7 linked regions of the Sus scrofa genome follow. The protein of the gene in region 4 interacts with the protein of the main gene of each other region in a pairwise test. Links are inferred from orthologs where the notes say so. Each region holds a gene or a part of one and is shown on either strand. Other genes may lie near its edges.

The links.
Region 1: the proteins of HOMEZ (region 4) and PRKAA2 interact in binary tests that used the Homo sapiens proteins (3 or more experiments, as listed by UniProt). The two-hybrid records come from large-scale screens. The link is inferred for Sus scrofa from reciprocal best matches to the Homo sapiens genes HOMEZ and PRKAA2.
Region 2: the proteins of HOMEZ (region 4) and AEN interact in binary tests that used the Homo sapiens proteins (3 or more experiments, as listed by UniProt). The two-hybrid records come from large-scale screens. The link is inferred for Sus scrofa from reciprocal best matches to the Homo sapiens genes HOMEZ and AEN.
Region 3: the proteins of HOMEZ (region 4) and MED18 interact in binary tests that used the Homo sapiens proteins (3 or more experiments, as listed by UniProt). The two-hybrid records come from large-scale screens. The link is inferred for Sus scrofa from reciprocal best matches to the Homo sapiens genes HOMEZ and MED18.
Region 5: the proteins of HOMEZ (region 4) and MAD2L1BP interact in binary tests that used the Homo sapiens proteins (3 or more experiments, as listed by UniProt). The two-hybrid records come from large-scale screens. The link is inferred for Sus scrofa from reciprocal best matches to the Homo sapiens genes HOMEZ and MAD2L1BP.
Region 6: the proteins of HOMEZ (region 4) and SNRPB2 interact in binary tests that used the Homo sapiens proteins (3 or more experiments, as listed by UniProt). The two-hybrid records come from large-scale screens. The link is inferred for Sus scrofa from reciprocal best matches to the Homo sapiens genes HOMEZ and SNRPB2.
Region 7: the proteins of HOMEZ (region 4) and DNTTIP1 interact in binary tests that used the Homo sapiens proteins (3 or more experiments, as listed by UniProt). The two-hybrid records come from large-scale screens. The link is inferred for Sus scrofa from reciprocal best matches to the Homo sapiens genes HOMEZ and DNTTIP1.

The regions. Positions count from the first base shown.
Region 1 is NC_010448.4:155,751,135-155,755,965, forward strand, and holds the start of PRKAA2 (5'-AMP-activated protein kinase catalytic subunit alpha-2), read right to left. Parts: upstream 3,111-4,831; 5' UTR 3,061-3,110; coding exon 2,967-3,060; intron 1-2,966. UniProt on the Homo sapiens protein: Catalytic subunit of AMP-activated protein kinase (AMPK), an energy sensor protein kinase that plays a key role in regulating cellular energy metabolism.
Region 2 is NC_010443.5:191,205,013-191,209,085, forward strand, and holds part of AEN (apoptosis-enhancing nuclease), read right to left. Parts: intron 2,485-4,073; 5' UTR 2,421-2,484; coding exon 1,881-2,420; intron 1-1,880. UniProt on the Homo sapiens protein: Exonuclease with activity against single- and double-stranded DNA and RNA. Mediates p53-induced apoptosis.
Region 3 is NC_010448.4:85,382,459-85,387,166, reverse strand, and holds the start of MED18 (mediator of RNA polymerase II transcription subunit 18), read right to left. Parts: upstream 3,083-4,708; 5' UTR 2,882-3,082; intron 2,321-2,881; 5' UTR 2,252-2,320; coding exon 2,179-2,251; intron 1-2,178. UniProt on the Homo sapiens protein: Component of the Mediator complex, a coactivator involved in the regulated transcription of nearly all RNA polymerase II-dependent genes.
Region 4 is NC_010449.5:75,795,047-75,798,791, reverse strand, and holds the end of HOMEZ (homeobox and leucine zipper protein Homez), read right to left. Parts: intron 3,529-3,745; coding exon 1,931-3,528; 3' UTR 765-1,930; downstream 1-764. UniProt on the Homo sapiens protein: May function as a transcriptional regulator.
Region 5 is NC_010449.5:38,616,114-38,620,186, forward strand, and holds part of MAD2L1BP (MAD2L1-binding protein), read left to right. Parts: intron 1-2,600; 5' UTR 2,601-2,985; coding exon 2,986-3,031; intron 3,032-3,581; coding exon 3,582-3,847; intron 3,848-4,073. UniProt on the Homo sapiens protein: May function to silence the spindle checkpoint and allow mitosis to proceed through anaphase by binding MAD2L1 after it has become dissociated from the MAD2L1-CDC20 complex.
Region 6 is NC_010459.5:25,367,362-25,370,809, reverse strand, and holds part of SNRPB2 (uncharacterized protein LOC768116), read right to left. Parts: intron 1,034-3,448; coding exon 893-1,033; intron 1-892. UniProt on the Homo sapiens protein: Involved in pre-mRNA splicing as component of the spliceosome. Associated with sn-RNP U2, where it contributes to the binding of stem loop IV of U2 snRNA.
Region 7 is NC_010459.5:48,007,909-48,011,981, forward strand, and holds part of DNTTIP1 (deoxynucleotidyltransferase terminal-interacting protein 1), read left to right. Parts: intron 1-1,403; coding exon 1,404-1,472; intron 1,473-1,728; coding exon 1,729-1,785; intron 1,786-2,051; coding exon 2,052-2,110; intron 2,111-3,239; coding exon 3,240-3,285; intron 3,286-4,073. UniProt on the Homo sapiens protein: Increases DNTT terminal deoxynucleotidyltransferase activity (in vitro). Also acts as a transcriptional regulator, binding to the consensus sequence 5'-GNTGCATG-3' following an AT-tract.

The sequences.
Region 1 (4,831 bases), on a different chromosome or scaffold from region 4:
CTGATATGACCCAACAATTCTACTCTTAGGTATCTACCTAAGCTCTATGAAAACAAATGGCCACACAAAGACTTGCATGCAAATGTTTGTGGTGGCACTATCTGTTACAGCCAAAAACAGAAAAAAAAAGTCCATCAACAGGTGACTGAAAAGGCAATGGAATATTATTTGGCAATAAAAAGGAACAAACCACTGACAGATGCTATTCATGCACAAACTTCAAAAGCATTGTTACATTAAAAAGTCAGACATGAGAGACTCCATATTGAATGATCCCATTTACAAGAAGTGTCCAGAGAAAGCAGACTGATCCAGAGAACAGATTAGCAGTTTTCTAGGGCTGAGGGCTAACTACAAATGGGCATAAGGAATCTTACTGTGGTGATGAAAATGTTCTAAAATTGATCTACGATAATGGTTGCACCATTTGGTAAAGTTACTAAAAAAATCACTGAATTGTACACTTGGAATGGGTGAATTTTATGATACGTAAAATATGCCTGAATAAAGCTGTTTTTAAAAATGCATGTGCTTTTGCTTCCTGTCCCTTGAAGAATTACAACTGGCCCTTGAACCACACCAGGGTTAGCGGCACTGAACCCTGGGCAGTTGAGAATCTATGTATAACTTTACAGTCAGCCCTCCATATCCATGGCTCCACATTCTAGGATTCAACCAACCTCAGACTATGTATTACGTAGTACATATTTAGTGAAAAAATCTGTAGAAGTAGACTTATGCAGTTCAAATCTGTGCTGTTCAAGGGTCAATGGTAAATGACTAACTTCAAGATGTAGCAACTTCTATAATTTTTATTAAGCAATTGTACTAAGTCTATAACCTTGGATGAGAAACCACAGTCTTACTGCAGAGAGGCCCTAGTATAGTGTTAGAAACATCTCCTCCAATTGGCTGCTCTTTGGGCAGGGGCTTCCAGGAAAAGTATTTCTCATAAATCAAAGCATTTTTTCTGATGGTTTACATTTTAAGTCGTCAGTGCCTAGAAGCAGCTCAAAAGTATATACAAAAGAGACTTAAGTTGTCTTGTGCCAATGGGCTGACTGACCTGATAGGTGTTTTAGTCAACATTCAGATTACAGAAAAATTTAAAAAGACAAACAAAAATGTTAACAATTTCAAAGGGCGCAGGGTACCTTATATAACCTGGAGAGTGTACTTGTCCAGATGGCAAAGGCTTGGGTGTATAACATCAAAACACAAGAGGCCTCAGTAATGTTATAAGCGTTAATCCAATTCCTGAGTCTATAGTCATTCTAAATATATTCTCCTAACTGTCCACTCTATAAAGTCTTTCAAAACTAAAAGCCTTCACAGCTCTCACAGTACGTCAAAGAATTTTACAAATCTTTTAGGTCTTTAGATAAATACCACCCTGCCGGTGAGGCCTTGCCTGATAAACTTATTGAAAATTGCTAACCTCACAAAATTCCCTATCCTCTCTTCTCTCATTCATTTTTCTCAAGGGCACCAAATATATACATACACACATATATACATACATATACACGCATATATACATACACAAAGGAATTGTTGTCTTCCCCTACAAGAATTTATTAAAGCACCACAAAAGGAGAGATTTTAATCTGATTTTGTTTCTAGGGTATCCCCATTACCTAGAACAGTGCCTGAAACACTGTAGGCACTCAATCAGTGCGTTCTGAACAAACGAAAGGATATCAGACATGTGGAAGTAAATAAGAGCTGGTCCGTGCCACAGAAATAAACATTTAACAGCCTTAATTTAAAGTTAAAACATCAGTTTTTGAGGAAATAGAAGTTTCCATAAAATCTACAAACTACCTAACCAACATTTCTAGAGCAAAGGGGGGGGGGGAGGCAAACTACACTTACAGTAATGGATTTGCAACAATCAAAAGAGAAGTATTTTTAAATAGCCGGTTCTAGTTCGGGGGAGGGGGACAAATTAATTAAATCCATGTGACTCTTATTAACAAAAACAGGAACGTTCAATACTTAACTAGGAAGAAGTAAAAATAATTCAAAAGCAACCTGTTTTTCTACACCCCAAAATGGGACCGCATCACCAAGAACACAGACCTCAGCAGAGCACAAACGCCTTAGCAGTTCTGGCCTCAGCCCGGCATCCCCCAAGATCCAGCACCAAGGACCGCATTTTCTCTCCCGCATCCCAGAAGCCTTCCTAGGACCATTTTACACAAACCAACCAACCTTCAGACCTCCCAGCTGTAACTAACCCCGATCCAATGCAGCTGCATTCCAGCCAGGAGAAAGACCCACCCAACCGCTCGCTCGGGGAGCACCCCCTAAACTCTCAGCCCCACCAACCCAGCAAGGGAGCACGAAAGAACTCGGACGGCAGGGACCTCCCAGCTGGCCAAACTGGAGGACATTTTAGACCTACATCCCAGTGTGACCTTGAGCATGTTCCTAAACCCCTAGGGGGTCCTTGTTTTCTCGCGTTTAAGGTGAGGATAACACCTGCATCTGCCCTAAGGCTCAAAGGAGATCACCTGTGAAGGACCTAACGGGGCACCTGGCAAAAATGGAAACTCCACTACCAGGAACGCGTGTCATTCCCCACCCCTACCCGTACAGTCTCCCAGCAGGAAGGCACCTTGCCCAACAGTCCAGTCTCCCGGTGTCACAGAGCAGGGCACTGAAGTCGGGCGGGAGAAGCGTCTCGCTCCCGACTGCGAGAAAGGCGGTGGGCGGCGGCCCTGGACCCCGGGACGCTTGCGCCCCTCCCGCGTCCCCTCACCCGGCCGCTGCCGCGGGGCGAGGAAGTGACGGCTGCCCTCCCGGAGCCCCCGGGCTCCGCGCGGCCCTGGTGGGGCCGCTCCACCTGCCGCCAGGCCCCGCCGCCCGCTGCCCACCCACTGCCTGCTGGCGGCCCCGGGCTCCCGGGCTTGGCCTCCCGCGAGGCTGGCAGCCCGGAGCAACGGCCTCGGCGCGTACTCAACTCTTCACTTTGCCGAAGGTGCCGACACCCAGCGTGTCCCCCAGCACGTAGTGTCCAATCTTCACCCGCCCGTCGTGCTTCTGCTTCTCAGCCATGTTCGGCGCGCGCAGCCTCGCTCCGCCGCCGCCGCGGCGGACTCCTCAGTGCGGCCGCAGCCGCCGCCGCCGCCTACCCACAGTGCAGCGGGCCCGCGGGGGGCGGGGGCCCGGAGGCGCCGAGGGCCGGGCGGGGGGCGGGAGGGCGAGCAGGTGGGCGGGGCGGGGGCTCGAGCGGGTGGGCAGAGCGCACACCCCCGGCCAGAGCCGGCGCGGGGACGTAGGTGTGCGGAGCTGGCGGGCGCGCAGGGTGGGCCCTGGGCTGGGCGCAGGAGGCCGGGTGGAGGGAGGGTCGGAGGACTACAGGTGTGCGCGGGAGGCGGTGGCGGTCGGATGGTGCCCCGCTATCTGGGGGCGGGGCGGTGAGGAGAACCCGAAGGAGTGGAAATGAGGGTGGGATTTGGGCCGAATCTTAGCAAATGCGGAGAGATGCAAGCTGAAGGTGGAGAAGAGAAACAGGCCTGAAGTGTGAGGAAAGAGGGGTGTGAAAACCAGCTTAGGGGTCTAAGGGATCCGGGCGGGAGGCGATGGTGAACGACCTTGCTCGAAGGTCAGTCTAAGGAGAGCTACAAGGAAGTTTCTCCAGTCTCAGGTTCAGTGTTATGATACAGGTCATGACACACACACAGAACCCAATTGTGTGCTGGCTTCAGTGACCCACCTCGGTGTACTTCCTCATTCTCAATCATTTTGAGCTACAGATGGAGACCCTCCATTCTAGAGTTCTCAGTTCTCACTAATTTGGACAAAGTTCTCGGAACAATCAGACCCAAGAGTTACCTGATTGTATTTTAGCACATACCTATATAAATAGTGTATAAATAATTTGTGATGGAGCCGTACAAAAGGGAAACAGTGACGGAAATGAAGAGAGCATGGAAAGTAAGATACATAAGGGACGAAGTACTACGGTGAGCTAGGGCAATATAAAGGCACAAATTAAAGGTAAAGATTGAAGTGGGGGGAGGTGGTAAGCATTAAAAACTGCCAAGATACAGTAATATAGTAATGAAGTGGTTCTCACTTCCTCCTCTCTCCCTTCTTTGCTTCCTACTGTGTCCCAGTCTTCAAAATTTCCTCTTTCCGTGACTAAAAATTATTTGCTGATTGGGAATAAGTGTTTAAGGATTAACTGAACATTTTTAACTTTGTGCATGACAGTAGAGTTTCAAGGTCACATTCCCCAAACAGGAAATTTCATCTCACTATTTTTATGTAAAGAGAGAAATATATTTATCAGAAAGAATAAGATGTAACAGAAGTTTGTTTTCCGAGAAGTGACAAATATACCAATGGCGAGCATACATCCATTTTTGTTTAGCCATCAAGTCAATCTGATGAGAGATGATCACATCTTATAAATTATAGACATCACAGCTGTTGAACAGAGGCTATTTTTGTTCATTCTTAGGATCATCTTTCTTGCTGACCAGAAGTATTATTTAAAAAACAGTCTACCTAGCTGACGATTTGGAGAAAATAGCCAGTTATTTTTGATGCTGAACCTTCATTTGATTGATGGTCACTCCAGTATTCATTCAAGTAGAAAAAATACCTATTCTTCTTTTGCAATATAAAGTGTCTGTGTCTTGTTCTAACATCTCATTAAAAGATGTTAAAGAGTATTAGATTGCTTTCTTGAAGCTGTATGAAGACAGCCTATAAATATTTAAAAGCATTGTGCACTGTCTTAACTAGTGGTTGATAATTGCAACTTGAATTATTGTATACCTCTTAGCTATGTTCCTTACCTAGCACCTGTAAACAACCT
Region 2 (4,073 bases), on a different chromosome or scaffold from region 4:
GTGTAGGTCGCAGACGCGGCTCAGATCCCGCATTGCTGTGGCTCTGGCGTAGGCCGTAAGCTACAGCTCTGATTAGACCCCTAGCCTGGGAACCTCCATATGCCAAGGGAAGTGGCCCTAGAAAGAGGCAAAAAGACAAAATAAATAAAATAAAATAAAAATCTTTTAAATAGAAGAGAAAAAATTTATAAAAGAGAAAAAATCCTTAGGTTGTACCTTATGTGAAAAAGGCACAAAGTGACTTATATCAATATTCACTAAATTTACCTAATCCCAAGAATAAACCAGAAATGTTACATAGTTCTGTTACAACACTTGGTTTGAAATTGCAGGAGTTCCTGTTGTGGCTCAGTGGTTAACAACAAGTCCATGAGGATGTGGGTTTGATCTCCAGCCTGACTCAGTGCATTAAGGATCCAGCATTGCCATGAACTGTGGTGTAGGTGGCAGACTTGGCTAGGATCCTGTGTTGCTGTGGCTGTGATATGGGCTGGCAGCTGTAGCTCCAGTTGGACCCCTAACCTGGGAACTTTCATATGCTGCAGGTGTGGCCCTTAAAAAAAAAAAAAAGAAAGAAAAAAATTACAAAGTGTTCCAAGGAGGTTATAGTTGATATGTTAGGACATGATTTGAGAATAATGCAAACTTCGCCCTTGGGAAACACTAAGTGAATGCCAACACCACACCCAGCTGAGCTGAGCCACTGGGGAATCCACAAAGTGCCCACGCCCCCCATAGCTACCAGCCAGCTCAGCTTACCTGCCTACCATCTGCACCTGTGTGTTCCCACCTCCTGACTTCCAGTTAACTCCTTCCCTCCTTCCCACAGCGCAAGCCCACCCTCCTGACATCCACTTCCCCCAGTACCCCAGGCCTTTTCAAGGCAAAGTGCCATACTACTGGTTTATTTATGCATTTCTTAGCCAGTGACCCTGGGCAAAACTGTGCTGCCACTATTATTAGATTTCTTGCTTTTTATTTTGAGCATTGTGTCCCTAACCCCATTTTTCCCATCAGCTCTGAGGTTTTTGTCGTGCAAGTTGCATAGCATGTTGGTTTTTAGGGATAGACACATCAGAGCTGTCCCAGGGCCTACCTAGAGACCTGTGGGATCAGAATCTCTGCAGAGGGAGGTGGGGACAAGGATCCAAGATTGTGGATTGAGATCTAAATGTTTCCTTAGGGAGTCCCCATTGTGGCTCAATAGTAACAAACTCGATCAGTAAACATAGCATACAAATTCGATCCCTGGCCTCGCTCACTGGGTTAAGGATCCGGCATTGCTGTGAGCTATGGTGTAGGTAGCAGACATGGCTCAGATCTGGCATTGCTGTGGCTCTGCTGTAGGCTGGCAGCTACAGCTCGGATTCGATCCCTAGCCTGGGAACTTCCATATGCCATGGGTGCGGCCCTAAAAAGACACACACACACACACACACACACACACACACGAAAGATCTGAGTGTTTCCTATGTTCCAAGGACATTTGGGAATTCCTAGTGGTTGTGGTCACAACACTACTTTTTTCAAAACAATGAAAAAACAAAAAACAAAAACGAAACAAATTAATACCCGCAGGTGACAGCACTATGGGCCCTACACATTTTATACAGATATGTAATACTTTTACAAAAGAAAAAATGTGGCATGTAAGCTGCTTTGCATCTTACAGTTAGCACAACCTGTTCACAAACACTGTCACAAGGAATACCCCAGCACTCCTTCCATGCTCTAGGGCAAGCCCTCTATCCACCCTGTTCTGTGAAGGAAGCCATTGTTTGGAGAAGTTAAGTAACTTTCTCAAGGTCCCTTCTCACCTATAGTAGCAAAGCACTGCTGCAGCCCATCACACTAACCCAAAGCCCCAGCCCTGCCCTCACCTCTTTCTGGGCCACCTGGAAGGGGATGGCTTTGCGCATGTGCTGCCGAGTGATGCCGCTCCAGCGAGTGCGGTAGTCCACGATGGGCATCTCAGGCCGGATGTACTTGTCGTAGAGGACATCGCCATAGTAACTCACCACGGAGCAGCGGGCCAACTCACTCACCCGCCCCCGGGGGCCCGTGCCCACCATCTCACAGTCGATAGCCACGCACTTGCTTGGCAAGGGCCCCGCAGATTCCCTGGGGGTGGGCTTTCTGCTGCAGGGGGCACCTCCAGATTCAGCCTTTGGACGCTGCCTCACACTGCTGGAAGCTTCTGTGCCTGGCGGAGCATCCAAGAGCATGGGCAGTGGAGAGGATCCTGGTTCTGGGGGTGCACTCAGCAGCCCCTGCTCCTGCAGCAAGGCCTTCCGGGCCATGAACCTCTGGTGCTGTCGGCTCTTCCTCTTGTGCTTCCTCCGAAGCACATCCTTGGCATTGGAGCTCCCCAGGGAAGGGCACAGGCACTGGGTGGACTCAGGAGCTTCCCGGGGTACCATCCCAATCAGCTCACCCCTCAGGGCAAGGGAGGCCTAGGAGGTAATGTGCCAACAGGGCAGCAGCCTGGGGAGAGAAGAGAGAGGGCAGAGGCGCTGAGTGAGGAGTATGCCAGCCCTGACCGCCCTCCTGCAGTGCCCTGTTGCTGGCTAGACTGCCCCACAGCCCTTGGTCTCAGGATTCCAGAAGGAGTCAAAGACCTATTTTCGTAATAATTGCACTCACACAGTTAATGGCACATACAGAATCACTGTTCTAAGTACTTTACACAGAATTACTCAATCTTCCAAACAACTCAAACAAAGTATCAGTATCCTCATATTACAGGTACAAAAACTGAGGCATAGAGGTTAAATAACTTGCCCAATTAATTAATAATAGGCACAGGCTGATGTGAATCCAGAATCCATGCTCTCAACCTCCAAGCTGTAACTAACCTCCAATATTGTAGGCATCAGAAACTTGTAGAGAGGTATGGTTATGGGAAAATAAAGGTTACAGAAATGGTGTGTGTATGTATGAAGTTCCAGTTAAAGGAAACGAGAGATTTTATGAAATGTATGGGCACAGACCCACAGCAGACCTGGAGAAAATATTTCATAGGAAGCCCACAATAGTTGTTTTTGGTATGTGTTAACCAAAATGACATAATGTAGTAAATGACCTTCTAATTCACTCATCACAACACTGTCTACAAACATTTAAAAATAGTTGGAGGAATTCCCACTGTGGCACAACAGAACTAGCAGCATCTCTGGAGTGCTGGGAGGCAGTTTCCATCCTCAGCCCAGCACAGGCATCGTCAAAGCTGCCACTTAGGTTGCAACTGAGGTTCGGATCTGATCCCTGGCCCAGGAACTCCATGTGCCACAGGGTAGCACCCCCCCAAAAAAAAAAGTTAAAAAAAAAAATATATATATATATAGTTGGACATGTAGTTTAATCATTGAAGCCTATAGGCACTTGTGTGCTGGTAAACAGGCTCAACTTAAAAGAGAGAGCAAGAGAAAAGGAAAGCCCTGATCTATAGTGCTGCAGATTTTCATGGTACCTCCCACAAGCTCTCATCCCTGAATGTTGCATTGAGAAGAGATGCTGTGGCCCACTACTGCAGCAAGAAATGTTTGATGTTCACATGGGTTTGCAAATCCCGTGCTAAAAGGCCGGCATCCCGGCATCTTCCGAATGGTGAAGAATGTAGCCTGGAAAGCTTCATCTTGTTTGCTGTGCTGAGTCAGTGCACCCAAAGAGACCAGAAAACCAGGACTTTGAAGTAGGCAGAGCAGGGGCTAACTCAGCTCTCTATAAGTTAGCTAACAGCTGAGCTTCAGGTTCTTTGCATGTAAAATGGCCCTAATAGCTTTCCCGTGGGAAGAGGAAATGGCACAATCCATGTGCTGGGATCTGCATATATTATACACAGTAGGGGCTCAATAAGTACCTGCTCCCTTTCCCCCCAGAATGGTGGAGACTCCTGCTCTTGGCTGGTAACCAGCTCTTCCCAAGCCAGACCTGCCTTGGCCTGGACTCCCTGTCCCTTTCCAACCTTCCTCCCGCCCCCTCCCCACTGCTCCTTCCTAACCTTCCTCCATTCTCCAAGAAGCCCTTCTGGAACAACCCTCTGGATTGCACAGGCTAATGCCAGCCTGAGGCCT
Region 3 (4,708 bases), on a different chromosome or scaffold from region 4:
CCTTGTTTTTCAGAGCTGTATACTGAAAGTGTTTAGAGGTAAAATGTTATGAAGTCTGAAATTGTATTTAAAGACAGGAAAAAAAGAAAGGATAAAGCAAACATGAAAAAAATAACAGAAAGTACAATCAAGATGACAGAAATTGAGTGTTCATTCTATCAGTCTCTATTTTCTTTGTGTTTGAATTTTTTTTTTTTTTTTTTTTGCTATTTCTTTGGGCCGCTCCTGCGGCATATGGAGGTTCCCAGGCTAGGGGTCCAATCGGAGCTGTAGCCATTGGCCTATGCCAGAGCCACAGCAACGCGGGATCCGAGCCGCGTCTGCAACCTACACCACAGCTCACGGCAACGCGGATCGTTAACCCACTGAGCAAGGGCAGGGACCGAACCCGCAACCTCATGGTTCCTAGTCGGATTCGTTAACCACTGCGCCACGACGGGAACTCCCTGAATTTTTTAATAATAAAACATTTTTTAAAAAAGATGTTGAACTGGAGTTCCCGTTGTGGCGCAGTGGTTAACGAATCTGACTAGGAAGCATGAGGTTGCGGGTTCGATCCCTGGCCTCGCTCAGTGGGTTAAGGATCCTAAAAAACTGCCTCCCCCCAAAAAAAGATGTTGAACTATTGTGTGAGAAGAGACAGATGATCAAAAGTGGAAGCAATGCAATAAGCACAAAATTACTAAAATAGTTCAAAGGATGATAAACCAAGCCATTGCATGTGGAGAAAAGACATATTTAATATATATTTTGGAAGTAAAATAAACAGAACTAGAGATAAGCTATAGGTGAGAATAAAGTGAAAAAATGGAGATTGATTCCTGAATTCATAGCTTGAGCAACTGGTGAATGACAGGCACTTACTAAGATGGAAAAGACTGAAGGAGGGACAGCTGGAAGAATGAAAGTTAATAACCCTACTTCGTTCATATTAAGTTTTTTTTTTTTTTTTGTCTTTTCTAGGGCCTCTCCCCAGCATATGGAAGTTCCCAGGCTAGGGGTCTAATCTAGGAGCTGTAGCCGCCGGCCTACGCCAGAGCCACAGCAACGGTGGGATCCAAGCCGTGTCTGCAACCTACACCACAGCTCATGGTGACGCCAGATCCTTAACCCGCTGAGCAAGGCCAGGGATCGAACCTGCAACCTCATGGTTCCTAGTCGGATTCATTAACCACTGCACCATGACGGGAACTTCCATATTAAGTTCTTAAATGGATAATTCAAAGTCTAAACTTTTTTGCGAAACATTATAAGGCCTCCTGAAAATCATTACACTGAGTTTTGAGCTTTCTCATCTGGGCAAGTTACTTCAATTCTATTTCCTGATCTACAAGAATTAATAATAGTATCATAAAATTATCATATGATCCATTAATTTCACTTCTGGATATTTAACCAAAAGAATTCAAAGCAGGATCTTGGAAGAGATATTTGCATACACATGTTCACTGCATTATCCATGTTAACCAAGAGGTGGAAGCAACCTGAATGTCCAACAACAGAAGAACAGATAAAGAAAATGTGGTATATACATACTATAGAACATTATTCAGCCTTTAGAAAGGAGATCCTGTCTCGTGTGATAACACGGGTAAACGCTGAGGACATTATACTAAGTGAAATAAACCAGTCATAAAAAGACAGATACCATATGATTCCACTCATATAAAGTTATCTAACGTAGTCAAAATTAGAAACAGAAAGTAGAAAGGTTTGGAATTCTCCTGTGGTGCAGTGGGTTACTCATCCTGTGTTGTCATTGTAGCTGCCAGAGCTGCTCCTGTGGTGTGGGTTCGATCCCTGGCCTGGGAACTTCTATATGCCGTAGGTTCAGCAGAAAAGAAAATAAAAAAAGAAAAAAAAAAAAAGAAAGTAGAAAAGTTGTTGCCAAGGGCTGGGGGGAGGGGAAAGGAAGAATGAGTACAGAGTTTCAGTTTTGCAAGATGAAAAAGTTCTAGAGATTGGCTATACAACAATGCAAACATATTTAACACTACTAAATGTTATGCTCAAAATGTTTAATGCTATATGTTTGTGACCATAATTAAAGCCAAATTGAAAAAAAAAAAAAAAAGAGGTGCCAGAAATTATGTAGCCTTTGTATATTAGCCTTTCATCTCCATGGAACCTGAACAGAAAAGAGGAAATCAGGTAATCTAAGCTCCCTAGTTCACTTACCCTGCAGCAGGTACTCCATCATGTTAATGGTGCCCCCGGTGACAGGCATCATAGTGACTGGAGGTGCCTCCATGCTATCTGTTTAAGTTGAAAGCAACAGAACCGGATTCAGAGTCCCAGTCAAATAAAGCACAGGACACACCTGGAAAAGAGTTATGCTTGTTAATACATCAGAGAGATGGAGAGACACCAGATCTACCTGGGTCATTAGCCTTAACATCAAAAGATTCATTCATTCATCCAGAACTTTTTGAACAACTTCCATAAGTCAGTTTCAGGAATTGATGATACAGAAATACACAAAGGAGGCCTGATCATGGAGTTATAATCTTTCAGTCTCAAGGTCTGAAACCTTCAGTTTCAGAATTTCCTGTGCAATAAGCCATCAAACCGCTGACCCTGGGATTCAATGTCTTCCTTATAAAATGAGGTCGACATTTAACCCCCAAGGCTTTGTGGCTCAGATGACACAATAGCCGTGAAATAATAGAACTGAGAGGTGACTCCCCTTCAATTTGGAGATGAGGATACTGACACTTTGGGTGGGGGTTGGAGGGAAGGATACAGAGCAAGTCCATGGCAGAGATAAACCAGACAAAAATCTAGGCGTTCAAAACGCCTTTGAAAGCGAGCCAGACAGAAGTGCGAAGTTCTTCTGACGATTGAGGTCCTCCTACCCCACCATCGACGCGTGCCTACTCACACCAAAAACACACCTCCGCGCGTGTTCTAGCCTTTTCTGGCAAAGCAGGGAACTGAAGCCACCAGAGCACCTCGGAGCTTTTTAGCGATAATTAGCCCCCAGCACTGAACTTGAAGACCCCCACCCCCCGGTGGAGTGCAACACTTTCTCCCCTCCACTTCCGGCAAAAAGTCTCCGTCGCGCAAATCTTGACATCACCATTCTGCGACGTAAGGGTGCCGGGAAGGCATAAAAATCATCTCTGCGGCCTGGCAAGTAGAAGCGCATGCGCAAACTGCGATTCTGCGTGGAAGAGGGCGGCCTTCCTGAGCGCGTTCCTCGGGGCGTGAGGGGGACCTTGACATCAAAGGCAGTCCTCCCGGAAAATATTTTCCTTTTTTCAAGTGTGACGGCCTGGAGTTGTTTTTGTCAAGGAATTCTTTTGGAACTTACAGGGGGAAAAGAGAGCCGGGGGAAGAGAGCTGAAGAAAAAAAGAGATCATAAAACCAAAACTTCTTTTGGTTGAGTACCTGAAGATAAGAAGGAAAGACATCTTTTACTGTTTAGCAGACTGTTCTGAACAATTAGGGAACTCAGCAATACATTTGATATTTGTTCACTCTTCTGTGTTTATTTTACCTCAATTCAAAAATTTTGGGAGATAAGTAAATTCAGCTCATTTATTGAATGTTGCTTGTGTGTCAAGCATGTAAAATGCAAAGAATGGAGCTAGAGTATGGTGGTTGAGGCACTCCCTGGAGCGAAAAATTTAAGGGGCACCAAAACTCCTAACAATTCAAAAAATTGTAATGCAATCTTTTACGAATTTAATGTGGAAAAAAAATCCTTAATGAACAAAATATTGGAATTTTTGATCTTCACAGCAGCCCTGTAACCCAAGTATAATTATTACTTAATTTTACTAATGGAGAAACTTAGGCATCAAGAAATAACACACCAGGGAGTTTAGACTGGGGTACAAATTTAAGCAGCTGCCTGATTTCAGAACCCACCCTCTTAATTGCTACACATCTTTTTTTTTTTTTTCTTTTTAGGGCTGCACCCTGGCATATGAAAGTTCCCAGGTTAGGGGTTGAATCAGAGCTTCAGGTGCTGACCTATGCCACAGCCACAGCAATGTGCGATCTGAGCCGCATCTGTGACCTACACCACAGCTCATGGCAATCCTGGACCCCCAACTCACCGAGCAAGGCATATAGAAGTTCCCAGGCCAGGGTTGAATCGGAGCTGTAGCCCCTGGCCTACGCTACAGCCACAGCTGTGCCAGATCGAAGCCAAGTCTGCAACTACACCACAGTTCATGGCAATGTTGGATCCTTAACTCACTGACTGGGGCTGGGGATGGAACCTGCATCCTCATGGGTACTAGTTAGATTCATTTCTGCTGAGCCATGATGGGAACTCCTATACAGTCATTTATAATTCCAGTTTCCCCTGCTGTAATTTATACTGTCTTACTCATTTACATTTTTAAACTTAAAAAAAATATTACCCACATTTTATCTGACATTTCAAAAGTAGGATTAAATTAAAAAAAAAAGAATAGGTAAGAATTGGGTGAACAATATGGTAAAACTTGGACAAGACTCATGATTTATAGGGATGGAGAAAATGTTATAAGAATGTGAGGCCTCAGAGTTCCCACTATGGAGCAGCAGGAACGAATCCGACTAGGAACCATGAGGTTGCAGGTTCGATCTCTGCCCTTGCTCAGTGGGTTAAGGATCTGGTGTTGCCATGAGCTGTGGTGTGGGTCGCAGACATGGCTCGGATCTGGTGTTGCTGTGGCTGTGGCATAGGCTGGCAACTGTAGTTGGGATTCAACC
Region 4 (3,745 bases):
GTGGCTACAGCTCCGATTCGACCCCTAGCCTGGGAACCTCCATATGCCGTGGGAGCGGCCCAAGAAATAGCAAAAAGCCAAAAAAAAAAAAAAAAAAAAAAAAGAGGAGTTAAGTGGGTGGGCCACTGGCAGGCATACCTTAGGCGAAAACATTGGTAAAGTGTTAAAGAGAGCATCTGCCAGAAATAAATGAGGTCTTGGTAATGACGTTATAGCTGAATAGGACCCCACTACCCTTTCTGAAACTGGATTTTTTTTTTCTTTTTTGTCTTTTTGTCATTTCTTGGGCCACTTCCTCAGCATATGGAGGTTCCTAGGCTAGGGGTCCAATTGAAGCTGTAGCTGCCGGCCTATGCCAGAGCCACAGCAACACGGGATGCAAGCTGCATCTGCAACCTACACCACAGCTCATGGCAACACCGGATCCTTAACCTATTGAGCAACGCCAGGGATCGAACCTGCAACCTCATGGTTCCTAGTCGGATTCGTTAACCACTGAGCCACGATGGGAGCTCCTGAATTGGATTTTTAAAGGCATTTCTAGACTCCCCCTCTTCTGAGCAAGAGGCTCTGCTGTAGCAAGTGCAGGAAACAGTCTGCCTAGTAATAGATACTGATCTACTGTCTTTTAAAATTTTTGTTCTTTTACTTTAACTCAATATATCCTGATGCTTAAAAGATAAATAAATAAAAAGTATACTAAATCAGAAAGTTAATGGATTTGGCTCCATTAATCTCTAAACGATTAAAGTAGCAAAGTGGAGGAGAGAGAAACAATTTTATTTTTGGCCTTTTTATTATTATTCTAGTAATTGGGGGCTTCCAACCTTTTATTTCCAGATGGTTAACCCACTGATATTGTTATAGGTGACCCCATCTGATGAAAACCATTCTAAAACATCAATTAATTCAGTTAAAGACCATGGTCCCTCTGTCCCCAAGACAGATCCTATCAAGAGAGGGAAAAGTCTCTTCTCTGGACACAAATTAAACTAACATGAAAAAGATAAAAAATCAGTCTCTGTCAAGCTAGGCAGGAGGGAGTGTCAGGTTTGTAAAACCAAACCTGGTACCTACCTTCACCGTCCTTCCAAACAGTAGAAACCATTCCCTCTCCTCTTATCCCTCTGTAATCTAATTCATTTTTAAAAGGACATCTCGCCTAAATCCCACCTCCAATAAATATCCAGTCTAAATTATTCTCCACCCAATTATTAAACTTTTTCACAAGCTCTGGGGGGAAGATTTACCCTGAGACAAATAATAAACAGAATGGGGATTCTGGAAAGATAAAAAGGTACAAGGCATAGTGGTCCCAGCATCAGAAATGAAAACATTCTGCTCCCTGTGTGACTCGATAAAAGCAGCAGGAAAACATATAAAGTCAAGCTGATATGAGGGAGAGGAAATATTTGTGACTGATGGGGACATGAGATTCTTAGCTGCATTATGCAAGGACCTGTGCTTGGAGAGAAAAGAAGGGGTGCAAGGCAGCTTTATGTTCCAGGGAAAATGGTGGGACTGGGGGATGTACTGGAATCATCAGTGAATCAAAATTCTTTACTCCTCCTTTGCCTTCCCCCATAGACATGGGCCAAAGCCTGGCCTCTCTGTAGTACAGTAGGGAAAAGTATGGCAGATCTGAGAGGAGAGCAAGAGCCTTTTCCGGCCCCATCATTTGGACCAGACCCTTGGCACTCTCTTCATTGAGGCTGCAGGCCTGGATTCCTGCCCATCCAATCCCCACCTCACTTTGTGCCTTGGTCATCCTTCCTGGTTTCCCTCACTACATCCCCCAGTCCCGACCCTCAAGAACACAAAGCTTTTCAGTTCTTTGCCACAAGGTAATTATAAAAAAATGTGGTTTCTTTGTTTAAACAGTTACTAAGTTGGTTCATCTTTTAGTAACAGACCTCCCCTCGCCCCCCACTCAGTCCTGGATGATCACATCATCGTCATCATCATCATCGTCTTCTTCCTCCTCCTCTTCATCCTCACAGTCTTCTGGCAGTTCTTCCTCCTCCTCTTCCTCCTCTTCATCTAGACAAACCACCACTTCAGCTGGCTCAGGTAATCGAGAGTCAAACCAATCCAATACCTGCTGGGTGCTCAGCCTTGATGCCTGACTCAGTTGAGGGATATCGCTCTGCCGTAGCTGTTGGTGGGTTGACCAGTACCTCTCCAGGGGTCGTATATCCGGTGGGGGTGGGGGATTCGGCAGAGGTGGTGTCTCAGCCCAATCATTCAAGGAGCGGGTTGAAGGTGGTGGTGTGGGAATTGCTGGATCCTGGAAGCTAGGGGCCCCAGGTACTGCGTTGTCCCGAAACCATTTTAGTTGCCCATGCTTCAAGGCATAGCGTGTGTCACCAAACCACTGAATAATCTCAGGCCGAGGTAAACCAGTGATCTGCTCTAATTTATGGTAATCCTCACGCCGTGCCCACTGGCACTGTAGGAAAAATGATTTGAGGATAGCCAGCTGCTCTTTGGTTTTGCGCTTGGTCTTTCGCTGGCGCTGCATATCTGGGGAAAGGTACTCTGCAGGGCCAACCCTCCCTGGTGCTGAGTTATGCCTTAGCCCCTGGGGCCAGGCTGGCTCCAGATGTGGGGGTAGTGCCTGTTCCTTGGGTGATGGTGGCTGTGGGATACAGCCCAGTGGCTGGAGGGGTTTAGAGGTGGCAGTAGCTCCATTAGCCAGTACCTGGAAAGAGGAAGAAGAGGTAGAGGAAGGAGGAGTCACATTAGATGCGGACTCCTTCTTGCAACTACTGGCAAGTAATGAGATGGGCGGGGGCTTATCCCGAGCTCGGGGCTGGTGGACAGCTGTGGAGTGGTTCCAGGAAGCAGTACCTAGGCCGTGGGACTGGTCGGGATCCCTGCCTGCCTGCCCTTTAGAGAAGCCACTGCTCTGAAGATCCTGCCAAAAGTTTGATTGGTGGGGGAATGTCCCAGTGCCAGGTACCAACAGGGGCTCTTTTGCTTTCTGGTGACTCAGTGGCTCTGAGGACTCCTCAGGCTCTACCTTCAATCCTTTCTTCTGGGTGGGCTCGCTAAGAGTCAGGGGCACTATTCCAAGACCCACTTGTTCTGGAGGTGGCATCGGAGAAGGAGGCACCTCCTCTGGGGGCCGCCCTGCATGATGAGTGAAAGAGAGAAGGGATTTGAAGTGGAGTTGGTCCCGATGGTAGACCACACGGGCTCGAGTCTCTTCTATTTCTTCGGATGACCAGCTAATGCCACAGCGGAGGCGCTGGGCCATGAACCAAGTCTTGACTTTCTCCATCTGCAGCCCATAGCGTAGGCAGAGAAGGGCAATGTCTGCTAAACTGGGATAGGGAAAGTAGCTGAAGGTTTGTAGCAAGTGTTCATTGCCATCCAGCTCACTGGTCTGGGCTGCTTGGGTCCACACAAGCTGTAGCTCCTCAGAAATTGGAGGGAGACAGATGAGCCCCGCAGGGGAGCTATTAAGACTGCTGGCCTCTTTATTAGGAGGCATGGTGCTTTCTGACTTGTGCCCTTCAGAGATCGCTGTAATAAGAAGAAAAACAGTTCAATCACTGGGGCTCCTCTTTCAGCCCATTGCTCACTTTCTACCAAACAAAATGTTTGGAGTCCAAAACAATCAACTTTCTAGGTGTACTGTGTTGGATTGCTTTTAAAGTGCTTAACAATTTCTCATTTAATTTTCATAAACTTCTGAGTCATCAGAGCCTGCCATAATTCCTGCTATACAAAAAAACCCCCA
Region 5 (4,073 bases), about 37 Mb from region 4:
TTGATCTTTGGTCCTTTCTTTCTGAAACACACCTTTTTCTTGGCCTCCAGCACTTGACACTTGTCTGTTTTTCTTTCTATTTTTCTGGCTACTCCTCATTCTCCTCCACAGATTCTCTTTCTGTTCATCCTCCAGACATTAGTGTCTTCAGTATCTTATTTATTTATTTATGCCTTTTTAGGGCCGCACCTGCAGCATATGAAAGTTCCCAGGCTAGGGGTCAAATCGGGGCTATAGCTGCCTACTTTTTAGGGCTGCACCCATGGCATATGGAGGTTCCCAGACTAGGGATCCAATTGGAGCTGTAGCCACCAGCCTACGCCACAGCCACAGCAACACTGGATCCTTAACCCACTGAGTAAGGCCAGTGATCAAACCCTAGTCCTCATGGATGCTAGTCAGATTCGTTTCCATTGAGCCATGATGGAAACTCTGAGTTGAGTTTTCAATAAGTTGAGTTTGCTGTTCCGTTGGACAGTGAAAAGATATTTAGGAACATCATTAGAAATAGAAATATATGTATTTGATAGTCATCAGCAAGGGGGCAGATAAGATCACCCAGGGAACTTGTATAGAGTAAAAATAAGCTAGGAGGGAGTTCCTGTTGTAGCTCAGCAGAAATGAAACCAACTGGTATACATGAGGATGCAGGTTCCATCCCTGGCCTTGCTCAGTGGGTTAAGGATCTGGCATTGCCCTAAGCTTTGGTGTAGGTCAAAGATGTGGCTCCGATCCCATCTTGCTGTGGCTGTGGTGTAGGCCAGCAGCTGCAGCTCTACTTCAACCCCTAGCCTGGGAACTTTCACATGCCTTTTTACGTGCGGCCCTAAAAAGGCAAAAAACAAACAAACAAAAACCCCAGAAAACTGAACTCATCTTTTCTCCTTACTCATTCCCCAATAAACCTGGTCCTCCTCTAGTTTTCTCTCCTTCACTGGGTGGCATAACTGGCCATAGAGTTGATGAAGTAAAAAAAAATCTGCTTGTTTTCTTGCCAGTCTCTCTCTATCTCTCCTCCTATTCCTGGGGTCAGCCATCATGCTCAACTGACCTCTTATTCTAGGGCTCACCCATTTCTCTCCACCCCACTGTGACTACTCTAGTTCAGACCTCTTTCACCATGCACTTGGGAATTGCAGTTGCTAGCTCTAACTGGCATCCATGCCAGCTCCTTTATCTATTCTGTAATCAAAATACCTACACTGTAGCCAGTGTAGAGATTAAATTTATAAAATGTAAATGTAATCATGTCAGGCCCCTACTTAAACCTTTCAAATGTTCCCCTACTCTCCTACAGGATATAGTTCAAACTTTGGCTTTAGAATGGTTTATAAAGCTTCGCCATGATCTGGCTCCTGTTTGTTCATCATAGCCTTACTTCTTCATAAGCTGAACTCTTTTTTATTCCTTGAAGAGAGGATGCTCTTGTATCTCCAGGTCTTGTTAAAAAACAAAATTCAGGAGCTCCTGGTGTGGTGCAACAGGATCAAGATTGGTGGCATCTTGGGAGTGCTGGGACACAGGTTCTTCTATCCCTTGGCCGGCACAGTGGGTTAAGGACCCAGTGTTGCCCCAGCTGTGGCTTAGGTCACAACTGCGGCTTGCATCTGATCCCCGGCTTGGGAACTCCATAAGGAGAGTGGTGGCCTAAAAACAAAACAAAACAAAAATTCAAACGAGTAAATTTGAAGATATAATTGGCTTTATTCAACAATTCATGAATCAGGCAGCATCCCATCTAGTTTAAAAACAAAAACAGGCACTCTGAAGGACTGTTGAAAATGGATGACTTTTATAGAAAGGAGGGCAGGATGAGGTTATTAGCAAAAAGAAAGAAAGGAATGGTCACCTACCGTTAGGGGGAATGATAGGGGGTTTTATCTTGCAGATTACCTCACTAGGGCAGACTAGGAAATTCCAGACTGGTTAGTTTAAAATTCTACTCCATGAGTTCCCGCTCTGGCACAGTGGGTTAAGGATTCGGGGTTGCTGTAGCTGTGGAATAGGTCACAGCTGTGGCTCGTATTTTATCCCTGGCTGGGGAACTTCTATATAACGTGGGTGCAGCCAAGAAAGGAAAAAAATAAAAATCCACTCTAGGTGAAGCTGAAACTTCGATTAAGTTAGGTACTAATTCTTGGTGAGATTTAGCAGAAGTGATTCCATTTGGGGCTTGTTTCTTTTTTTCTTTGTGATTTTTTTTTTTTTTTTAGGACCGCACCTACAGCATATGGAAATTCCCAGGCTAGTGGTCGAATTGGAACTACAGCTGCGGTCCTAAGTCACAGCCACAGCAACTTGGTATATCAGCGGCGACAGCGACCTACCCCGCAGGTCTAGGCGATGTCGGATCCTTAACCTATTGAGCGAGACCATAGTCGGGTTCTTAACCCGCTGAGCCACAACCGGAACTCTGGAGCTTGTTTCTTTTTAACAGTCTCCGGGACTTTAACAGTCTCCTCTTTACACCTTCCTCTTTACACATCCTGCAGGTCACACCCCTCGCTCCCACTCCCTCTAGGTTAAGCTCTCCTGTTCTTCGTGTCCACAGCCCACGTACACCCTACTGTATAATTCATCACACTGCATTCCATCTATAGGCACCGAACCCTCTGAGGACAGCGCCTGCCTCTGGCTTGTTCGTCGCAGAGTCTCCAGCACCTAGGACAGGGCCTGGCGCGAAGTAGGTGCGCAGCGAATAGAGACTGCGGGAGAGAACGGACGCTTGCGGGCGGTTGTCCTTTGGAAAGCAGCGCTAAGTGGCTGAGAACCCGTGGTTTCTCTGTTGGGGAAGGGCTTGGCGTACCCGCCTGATGTTAAGGTGGGGAACGCCAAGCTCAACTCTTCACCCAGCCTAGCCTACACCACAGTACACGGCGCTCCGCCCCTTCCGGCCCGGCGAAACCGGAAGTAGAGGCGAAGGTTTCCCATGAGGCTTCGCGGGGCGCCTATTCAAACTGCTCCGAGAGGAGGAAGGAGGTCGTGATGGCGGCCCCGGAGCCGGAAGTGCAGTCCCCGGTCGCAGTCTCTGGTAAGGCGTGGGGTCCGGAGCTCCAGGAGTCTTAGGGACCTGTTTTCGCCCTGCCGCCGCTCCCTCCAGTCAATTAGCCCTGGCCCTTTCTCTAGCTCGTCTTCCTTGTCCGGGTTTCCCAGCATCCCTCCCAGTTCTGATCCGGCCCCATTGACTGTGTCACCCCCACGGCCCTTGATCCCATTGGCTTACCCCACTGCGTCTTCACGGCGGGTTCTGGACCCTAACTACACTCTCCGCTCTTTTTCCTAGATCAGGGCCTCCACTTTTTGAGCAGAGCCCCAGTCATTGCCTCCGAAATCCTCCGCTCGTCCCGTTTAAATCTCGTCATCTCTTAAAACCTCTTAGGCGAGGAAATCTCGCCACCGCCCACAGGGGAGTTTGCGGAATCTCTCCGCCACCGCCCACAGGGGAGTTTGCGGAGATACTGTGAATTGTCGGGGTGTCACCTCCGCGGTGGTAGCTGATGTCGCCGCAAGAGAATGAGAAGACTGGTTTTGGCCTTTTAAGTTTTTCATTTTTCTCTTTTATCTCTCCGTGCCCCAACTAGGTTTGGAGTGGTGTGAGAAGTCGGAGGAAACCCACGACCCCCAGATAGAACTACTTGAGACTACTTCTGCCCAAGAACCTCCCAACCCTTCGGAGCCCCTTCGTCCCAGAGACTGCATGGTGCCAGTGGTGTTTCCTGGGCCTGTGAGCCAGGAAGGCTGCTGTCGGTTTACTTGTGAACTTCTAAAGCATATCATGTACCAACGCCAGCAACTCCCTCTGCCCTATGAACAGCTTAAGCACTTCTACCGAAAACCTTCTCCCCAGGTAGGCTTTGGGAGAAAATTGGTGGGGAGACTATGGCTATTAGATGGTAGGGAGTTAAAAAGGGAGTCTAAGGAATCCTCAGGGCCTGTCAGCCTAAGTAGCTGTAAGCGATGTTTCTCAGTCCCTTTTGCCTGCTCTGGGATTGATAGTCTAACTCTTCCTGCTTTTCCTCTTGTTTTGTTTTTCTGAAATCCCTACTGTGTTTTGCATTTGGGCTTCATGAAAT
Region 6 (3,448 bases), on a different chromosome or scaffold from region 4:
ACGCGGCTCGGATCCCACATTGCTGTGGCTGTGGTGTACGTCAGCAGCTACAGCTCTGATTAGACCCATGGCCTGGGAACCTCTGTAGGCCGCAGGAAGCGGCCCTAGAAAAGGCAAAAAGACAAAAAAAACCCCAAAAACCCCAGCAGATATTTACATTTATAATTACTGCATAAAAGTATGATTAACAGATTTTTTTATTCTACCTTACTTTTGCTGCAAATTTACATTTCAAAAACTCACTCAAACATTTATGTATAGTAGAATATTTTTGAAAGGTCTAGCCCTAACTTTAGACTATATCATAAAATTCAACCTCCAGGCTTTAAAATTATGGAGAAATATATAAGAGAAAAGCCAAGAACTAGTCTTTCTCACTTTTTTTTTTAAATACACAAAAAAGCAAAAAATCATACTTAGTAAAACTGATTTGTAATCACTTTCAATCTCAAAGTAACTACTTTTTGGATGATAATTTCACCTTTATCTAGTATTTTGAATTAGATTTTGAATTCCTGAACTGTTCAAAGAAAGCAGCTTTGAGTGGAATACTCATGATTACAAGGTAACATCTATAGCATTATTTATACACAGAACTTGAAAAATAAGCCAATAGATATTAACATATTTTGGAGAATGATGGAACCAAATGTCAGGCAAATTCAAATAAAACTGTTTAATATATATCTGCCATAAGTAAAGTTTTACATTATAATGTGTTGCTTAAACACAAATCTACAAATGTTAGAACTCAACCATTCTAGCTTCTTAAAAATCCACCTCAAACACACAGAGATGCACAAGCATGCCCCAAAGATCACCCCTCAAGTGGAAGACAAAGAACTATCAAATTTTCTGACACCAAAAAAATATGAACATTTGCCCATCTTACCTGACCAGGTTTCTTGTTCACGGTGGTTGCAGTCTGCTCCACAGTTTTGGCTTTTTTCTTTTCTTTTTTCTTTTCTTTGTCAGCAAAAGTACCACGCATTTTAGATATTATATCAGAATCTGTTTTTGCATACTGGATTCGCTGTTTTAATTATTTGAAAACAGGTTACTTTTCACTCCGCTGAAGCCTGTTTACACTTGTCATTAATTTTGCAAATTTCATTAAGCAAATATGAGCTAATTTTAAACACATCCTTAAGGAAATGTCAAATACACTGAGCTCCAAATGAAAATAAATTGTGGCCCATGATTTACAAGTGAGACAAAGTTAGATTCAGCTATGTGTATTAGAAGAAAAAACCATATATTTTCAGATGAGAAAACGGGACTTTGAAATATCCATACCACTGCTCTCCTCCACTTAAAAAAACAGAGAAAACTGCACTGGAAAGCTGTCCATCCCTTAGCAAGGATGCTCAACAGAAGGTCAAAATATGCATGGGATTGTTACTTCCGAAATTAAAGTACCAAAGATTGAGAAAGACCTGCCTTTGAATCTGAGCTATTATTTTTAAATGAAATGACTAATGGGGGCATCAACTTAAATTTTAAAAGCTTTGAAAGGAAACAAAAGGATGACAACATAGCTAGTGCAACTACAACACTGACCTGATTGACAGGCCATAGCCAGGAGGCATAGCACACACCAGGGAGCAGGCATGGAAACACCCTGGTCTAGGACTACATTTCATCAAATTTAACATGCATTCCAATTACCCAGAGAACTTGCAGATCCTGATGCAGTGGTTCCGCTGAGGCCTGAGAGTCTGTACTTAAAACAAGCACAGAGGGCATCTGGGAGAGGGGGCACACCATGAGCAGTATGGCCCTGCCCTAAGGCACTGTCACATAGCTAAGTCTCATACCAATTACCTGTCCCAAAACTTTTGCTACAAGTTATGCTGTCATCCAGGTGTGCCTATTTGCAAACTACAACTTCCAATTCAAGGGAATATTTCTTCCCTGGCACCCAAAGAGCCGAAACTACCTCTGTGATCATACCAAAACACCACAGCCCTATCAATTCTCTCTAAAATTGTCCCGTATGGCAAGAAATTGATTTCAGTCTGAAGGGAACAAGTGACATTTTAAAGTAATGCAGGCTTTAAAGCAAGAAATGTGTCACAACCAAGCAGTTCTTTCCCCACCCCACCCCTTTTTAAATGGCCTCACCCATGGCAATGGAAGTTTCTGGACCAGAGATTGAGTCTGAGCCACAACTGCAGCAAAGCCCCATCCTTTATAATCTACTGCACCGGGCCAGGGATCGAACCCATGCCTCCATAGCAATCCAAGCTGCTGCAGTTGGGTTCTTAACCCACTAGGCCACAGCAGGAACTCCCTTTCTTTTACATTAGCTAGAGATGAATGTACAGGAGAATGAGAGGGCAGCAGGCCTCCCAGGACCGCTCAGTCCCAAAGGCTTCCTATGAAAGCTCTAGCCACTAGACCACGGACTTAGCTGTGATCAACTCTTGATAATCCTGCATGTCGTCATCTAATGGAAAGGGACAGGTCTGGACTAACTCTGACTTGGTCCCAAGGATTCCTTCCCAGCTACCCTGGGTCTTTAACCTCCTTGTTGACCTAAACAGATCTTGGGTGGTCTTGTATTTGTCCCTGTGGCCTGAGAATACCTCTGCCCTGAATCCTCGCTTTCAGCAGGCTGGTCTGGAGCAGCAGTTCTCAATCAGGGGAGAATCCGCCCCCAGGAGACAGCTGGCAGTGCTGAAAGGGGGCACAGTGGGTTGTCATGCTAAGAGGGCAGAGGCCAGGGGTGCTCTAGACACCTTACAACCAACAAGGCAGCCCCAGCAACTATTCAGTTCAAATACCCCAAGTATCAGATGCTGAAAAGCCCTGGTCTAGACTAAATCCTGGTATAGGATAAAAGTCCATTCACAACTTAGAGAAGGCGCAAGATTTACATTTATTCCAAAGGTTTCATTACAGAAGCCCTTAGGAAGATGGTTCTGTCTTACTGAGCTACTTTGGAAATTAAATATCCAAATATCCTTGAATCACAGAGCATAATTTTGTTCTGAGTTCCAAGTTATATAAATTTTTGTTCATTTCTAATCTGGTATGTTGAGTTAAAGAGCAACTGAAACCACCTAAGTAAAGACAGCTCAAGGAACATTCTTTTCCTTTTCCAGGATGCTGGCGACTTGGCAGCAACTACTACTTTCCTAAAGGCAGAGAATGGACCTCCTAAAATACCTTCAATATGAGATCAGTCTAATGGGCTTTTTCCATTGATTTTAAAAATTTAGTTGGCAAGGTGAAGCCAGGGCCAAACACAGTGAACAATTTTCAGCTTTCCTGGATCTGAGTCAGTCATGCAACCTTGTCATCCCAACTTAGCAAAACAGACCTAAAAACCTCAAGAGGAAAAAACCGTTCCTTCATTCTAATGTAGTTTTAGATTTTAACTAAAACCCAGTCCTATGCTACCACCAAGTGAGATCTCAAGTATGCTATTTTTTCATACTACTGA
Region 7 (4,073 bases), on a different chromosome or scaffold from region 4:
AAGAGGTCACGTGAACCCAGCTCTTCACAGGCCTCCAAGGCCCTGCCAGCCTCCCCATGCTCCCGCTCACCCCTCTCCTTCTCCCAGGACCGCGAGGCCTCTTCTTCAAATGAGCCACATCTGTTCCCACTTTAGGGCTTTTGTGCTTCCCCCTGCAGCTGAAACACATTTCTCCTCAGCCTTCTCTCTGCTTGGCTCCATCACATCCTAGCCAGAGCACCCTTCTCAGCAAGGCATTCCCCGGCCACCTGCTCCAAGTAGCTTTCCCTTTGGGTGATTCTGTCACGTCTGCCTGGCTGGTGTTTTTTCCTTCAGAGAAAAATTCATGGTCTACAGTCACTGTGCTTATGTGTTTGTTTATTTGCTTAACGTCCAGATCGCCCACAGAATATAAGCTCCACAAGAGCAAGGCCCTTGTGCTCAGTATCGATTAAATGAAAAACAGCAACTTACTGAAGACTGTGCTTAATATCAGTGCATTTACTTAGAAAAAATACATAGCAGATATTTACATGGCAAAAAGTGAGAAAGAGTTTGCATCGAAATGTTAACAGTACTCTGAGTCCTGAGGTTTCAGATTTGGTTTTGTTTTTTTTTTTTTTTCTTTTTTTGTCTTTTTGTCTTTGTTTGTTGTTGTTGTTGTTGCTATTTCTTGGGCCGCTCCCGCGGCATATGGAGGTTCCCAGGCTAGGGGTTGAATCGGAGCTGTAGCCACTGGCCTACGCCAGAGCCACAGCAACGCGGGATCCGAGCCGCCTCTGCAACCTACACCACAGCTCACGGCAACGCCGGATCGTTAACCCACTGAGCAAGGGCAGGGACCGAACCCGCAACCTCCTGGTTCCTAGTCAGATTCGTTAACCACTGCGCCACGACGGGAACTCCAGATTTGGGGTTTTTTTTATTTTTATTTTGTTTATTCACATTTTTCTAATTTTTCAACAATGGTCGTTAATTACTCAAGGTTTTTTTTGTTTTTTTGTTTTGTCTTTTGTTTTTTTGAGGACTGCACCCACAGCTTATGAAGGTTCCCAAGGCTAGGGGTCTAATTGGAACTGTAGCCGCCGGCGTACACCTCAGCCACAGCAACACCAGATCCAAGCCACATCTGCGACCTACACGACAGCTCATGGCAATGCTGGATCCTTAACCCACTGAGTCAGCAAGGCCAGGGATCGAACCCACAACCTCATGGTTCCTAGTCAGGCAGATTTGTTTCCGCTGCACCATGACGGTAACTCCAAGTTTTTTTAAAGATATCTATTTGTGTCCATGTCTCAGGATCCCTTTGTACTGACCATGAAAGAGTTTTAACCCAGCTTGAAGCTGTGTCTATAAAAATGGAGACAGAGAGGCTTACTTACTAAAATAGTGACTAGTAACACTTGGTCTTTTCCTTTCAGGCTAAACTACTCTTTTCAGATGGAGAAAAAGTAATACCCAGATTGACCCATGAGCTTCCAGGGATCAAGGTCAGAGTCACCTGGGGTCTTAGAGGGGGGAGACCACTCAGACTGGGAGGCAGGTGAACTCCCTGGCTCCAGGGGAGGCTCTAGGTACCATGCATTTGTGGGGCCAGATATAAATAGCATCGTGCTGGGAGGGCTTCTGAGTCCCAGCTCAGGGAGGGGCTGAGGAGTGGTCCAGGGGCTCTGACTTCTGCAGCCCCATGGGACCCGAAGCTCCTGGGCATTGGCCTCCCACCAACTCCCTTCCCTTCTCCCGCAGCGTGGCCGGCAGGCAGAAGAGGAGGGTGCCCATCGGGGGAGCCCCATTCCCAAAAAGGTAAACCATCTCCTCCTTGTCTGGCCGGGAGAAGGCCCTGCAGCTGCAGAAGGGGCTGAGCTTCCTCAGCTCATCTCTGGTCCTCTCTAGCCTGAGGGGCAGGAACCTGGGAACCGTCACCCTCCCTGGTCACTCTCGAGGGTCGTTTGGTCTCATTGGAAGGGAGTTCCCTGGCGGTCTAGAAGGGAAAGCCCTCTCCCCTGGACGCCCCAGTGGGTGGGGGCTTCCCACAGGGTCAGGCCTCTGACAGCTGTTCTTTGTGGCAGAGGAAGGGACGGCCTCCTGGACACATCCTGTCGAATGACCGGGCCGCCGCAGGCATGGTGTGAGTAGGGGCCAACAGAGCCAGAAGGAGAGCGGGGAGGGAGTGGCCTGGAGGAGAAGAAGCCAGAGTTCTCTCCTGGTGAAATCACTCCTTCAGTGTAGGTCACCATGGAGGAGAGTTACTGTGGTCTGAGAGGCCGAGAAACATGGCAGTGAGGGGAGGTGATTTTATCCTGGTTTTGCCCCCAGAACAGTTCAGCCCAACTTCATTAAACACCAGAGGTTTTTTTTTTTTTTTTTTTTTTTAAGTCTTTTTAGGGCCGCACCCACAGCATACAGAAGTTCCCAGGCTGCAGCCGCCAGCCTACTCCACAGCCACAGCCACAGCAACATGGGATCTGAACCATCTCTGTGACCTACACTGCAGCTCACAGCAACACTGGATCCTTAACCCACTGAGCAAGGCCATGGATCGAACCCTCATCCTCCTGGATACTAGTTGGGTTCTTTACCACTGAGCCACAATGAGAACTCCGAGAGAGATATTTTTTTTTTATTAGCAGTATGTATTGAACACTTATCATGTGCCATAACTGGTCTAAATACCTTATGTATTGTGCCTTTTATTCCTTACTGGAGCCATTCTCTAGTAAGTAATTAAGGTATAATTAATTTTGGAGATAAGAAATTGACTCAGAATTATTTGCTCAAAGTCAGGCAGCTAATAACAGCAAAACTATACTACATTGTCTCCAGGATGGTCATTTTCAAAGATTTTGAAGCAACAGAATCTTTTCTTCAAACAGAACTTTACGTGGAAGCCCAATAGATAAAGCAGATAAAGCCACACGGGTCTGGTTAGGAGAGATGGAGGTAGTTTGAAACCACCAACTTAGGGGTTGGCCTCGTGTATCCCTCCCACCTTCCATCTCTCCCTTTCCCGGAGCAAATTCATTCCTTACTCACACGAGGTAGGGAGTTGCTGCTGTTACCTCCTTCTGTCAGATGAGAAAACTGCAGCCCACATGCTGGGTGATGTCAGAGCAGATCCTGGGGTGGCTCCTGGTGCTGTGGGGTCCCCAGTACACCCAGGCTGGAGTGAGAGTGTGAGGAACTCGCAGCAGCAGCAGACTTGCTTTCAGTCTAGCCTGATCTTGGAGAATTCACCCCTCTTCTTTCCTCCCGATCAGATGGAAACCAAAATCCTGTGAACCAATTCGCCGGGAAGGCCCCAAGGTATGATGAAGTGAGCGCAGCTGGCAGCACACGCCAGCCTAGGCGGACTCAGTCCAGGCTCTGGGCCCCACCTCGAGGGAAAGGGCCTGGGCTGGGGGACGAGTGCACACCCTTCCAGACCGTTCCCCCCCATCCCACCTCCCAACGCTGGCCTTCCAGGAGGATCCCAAGGAAGGATTGACATTAGGGGCAAAACTAAGAAAGGGCTTTGTCTTTGCTGAAGCCTTCTCCCAGTAAAACTAGTTGTCACTCTTCCTTTAGTACTTAATATGTGACAGGCGCTGCCCTGAATCTTTTGTATGGATTACATGATTTAATCTTTGTAACAACCTTATGAGTTAGATTCTGTTACCCCTCTGTGGTTCAGGAGCTTTCTTTCCCACCTCGTGGGCTGGAATAATCTCATTTTACCTAATTATCTTATACACTTGATGCATTCAAGGTTACAGAGCTGCCCAAGGTCATGTACCAAGTAAGTGGCAGAGCCAAGGGTCAAATCCAAGACTGTTGACACCGGAGTCTGTGTTCTTAGCTGTTAGCCTCTGTTGCCTACAGAACAGAAATTTGCAGGCTTTTTAGCAGTAGAATCCTTTCTTCAATTAAAATCATACCTGGAAGCGCAGTAAGGTGGATGCCAGCTCCTCTGTCCCCGTAGAGCTGCATCCCATAGAAGCCATCCACTCCTTGTCGTCCTGGCCCTCTGCGTTCACGCCAGTGACCACGCCTTCCTTCTTCAACTCTGCTACATCACAGCAGGGGGTCCTGCATCCTCCTAGAACTGTCTTTTC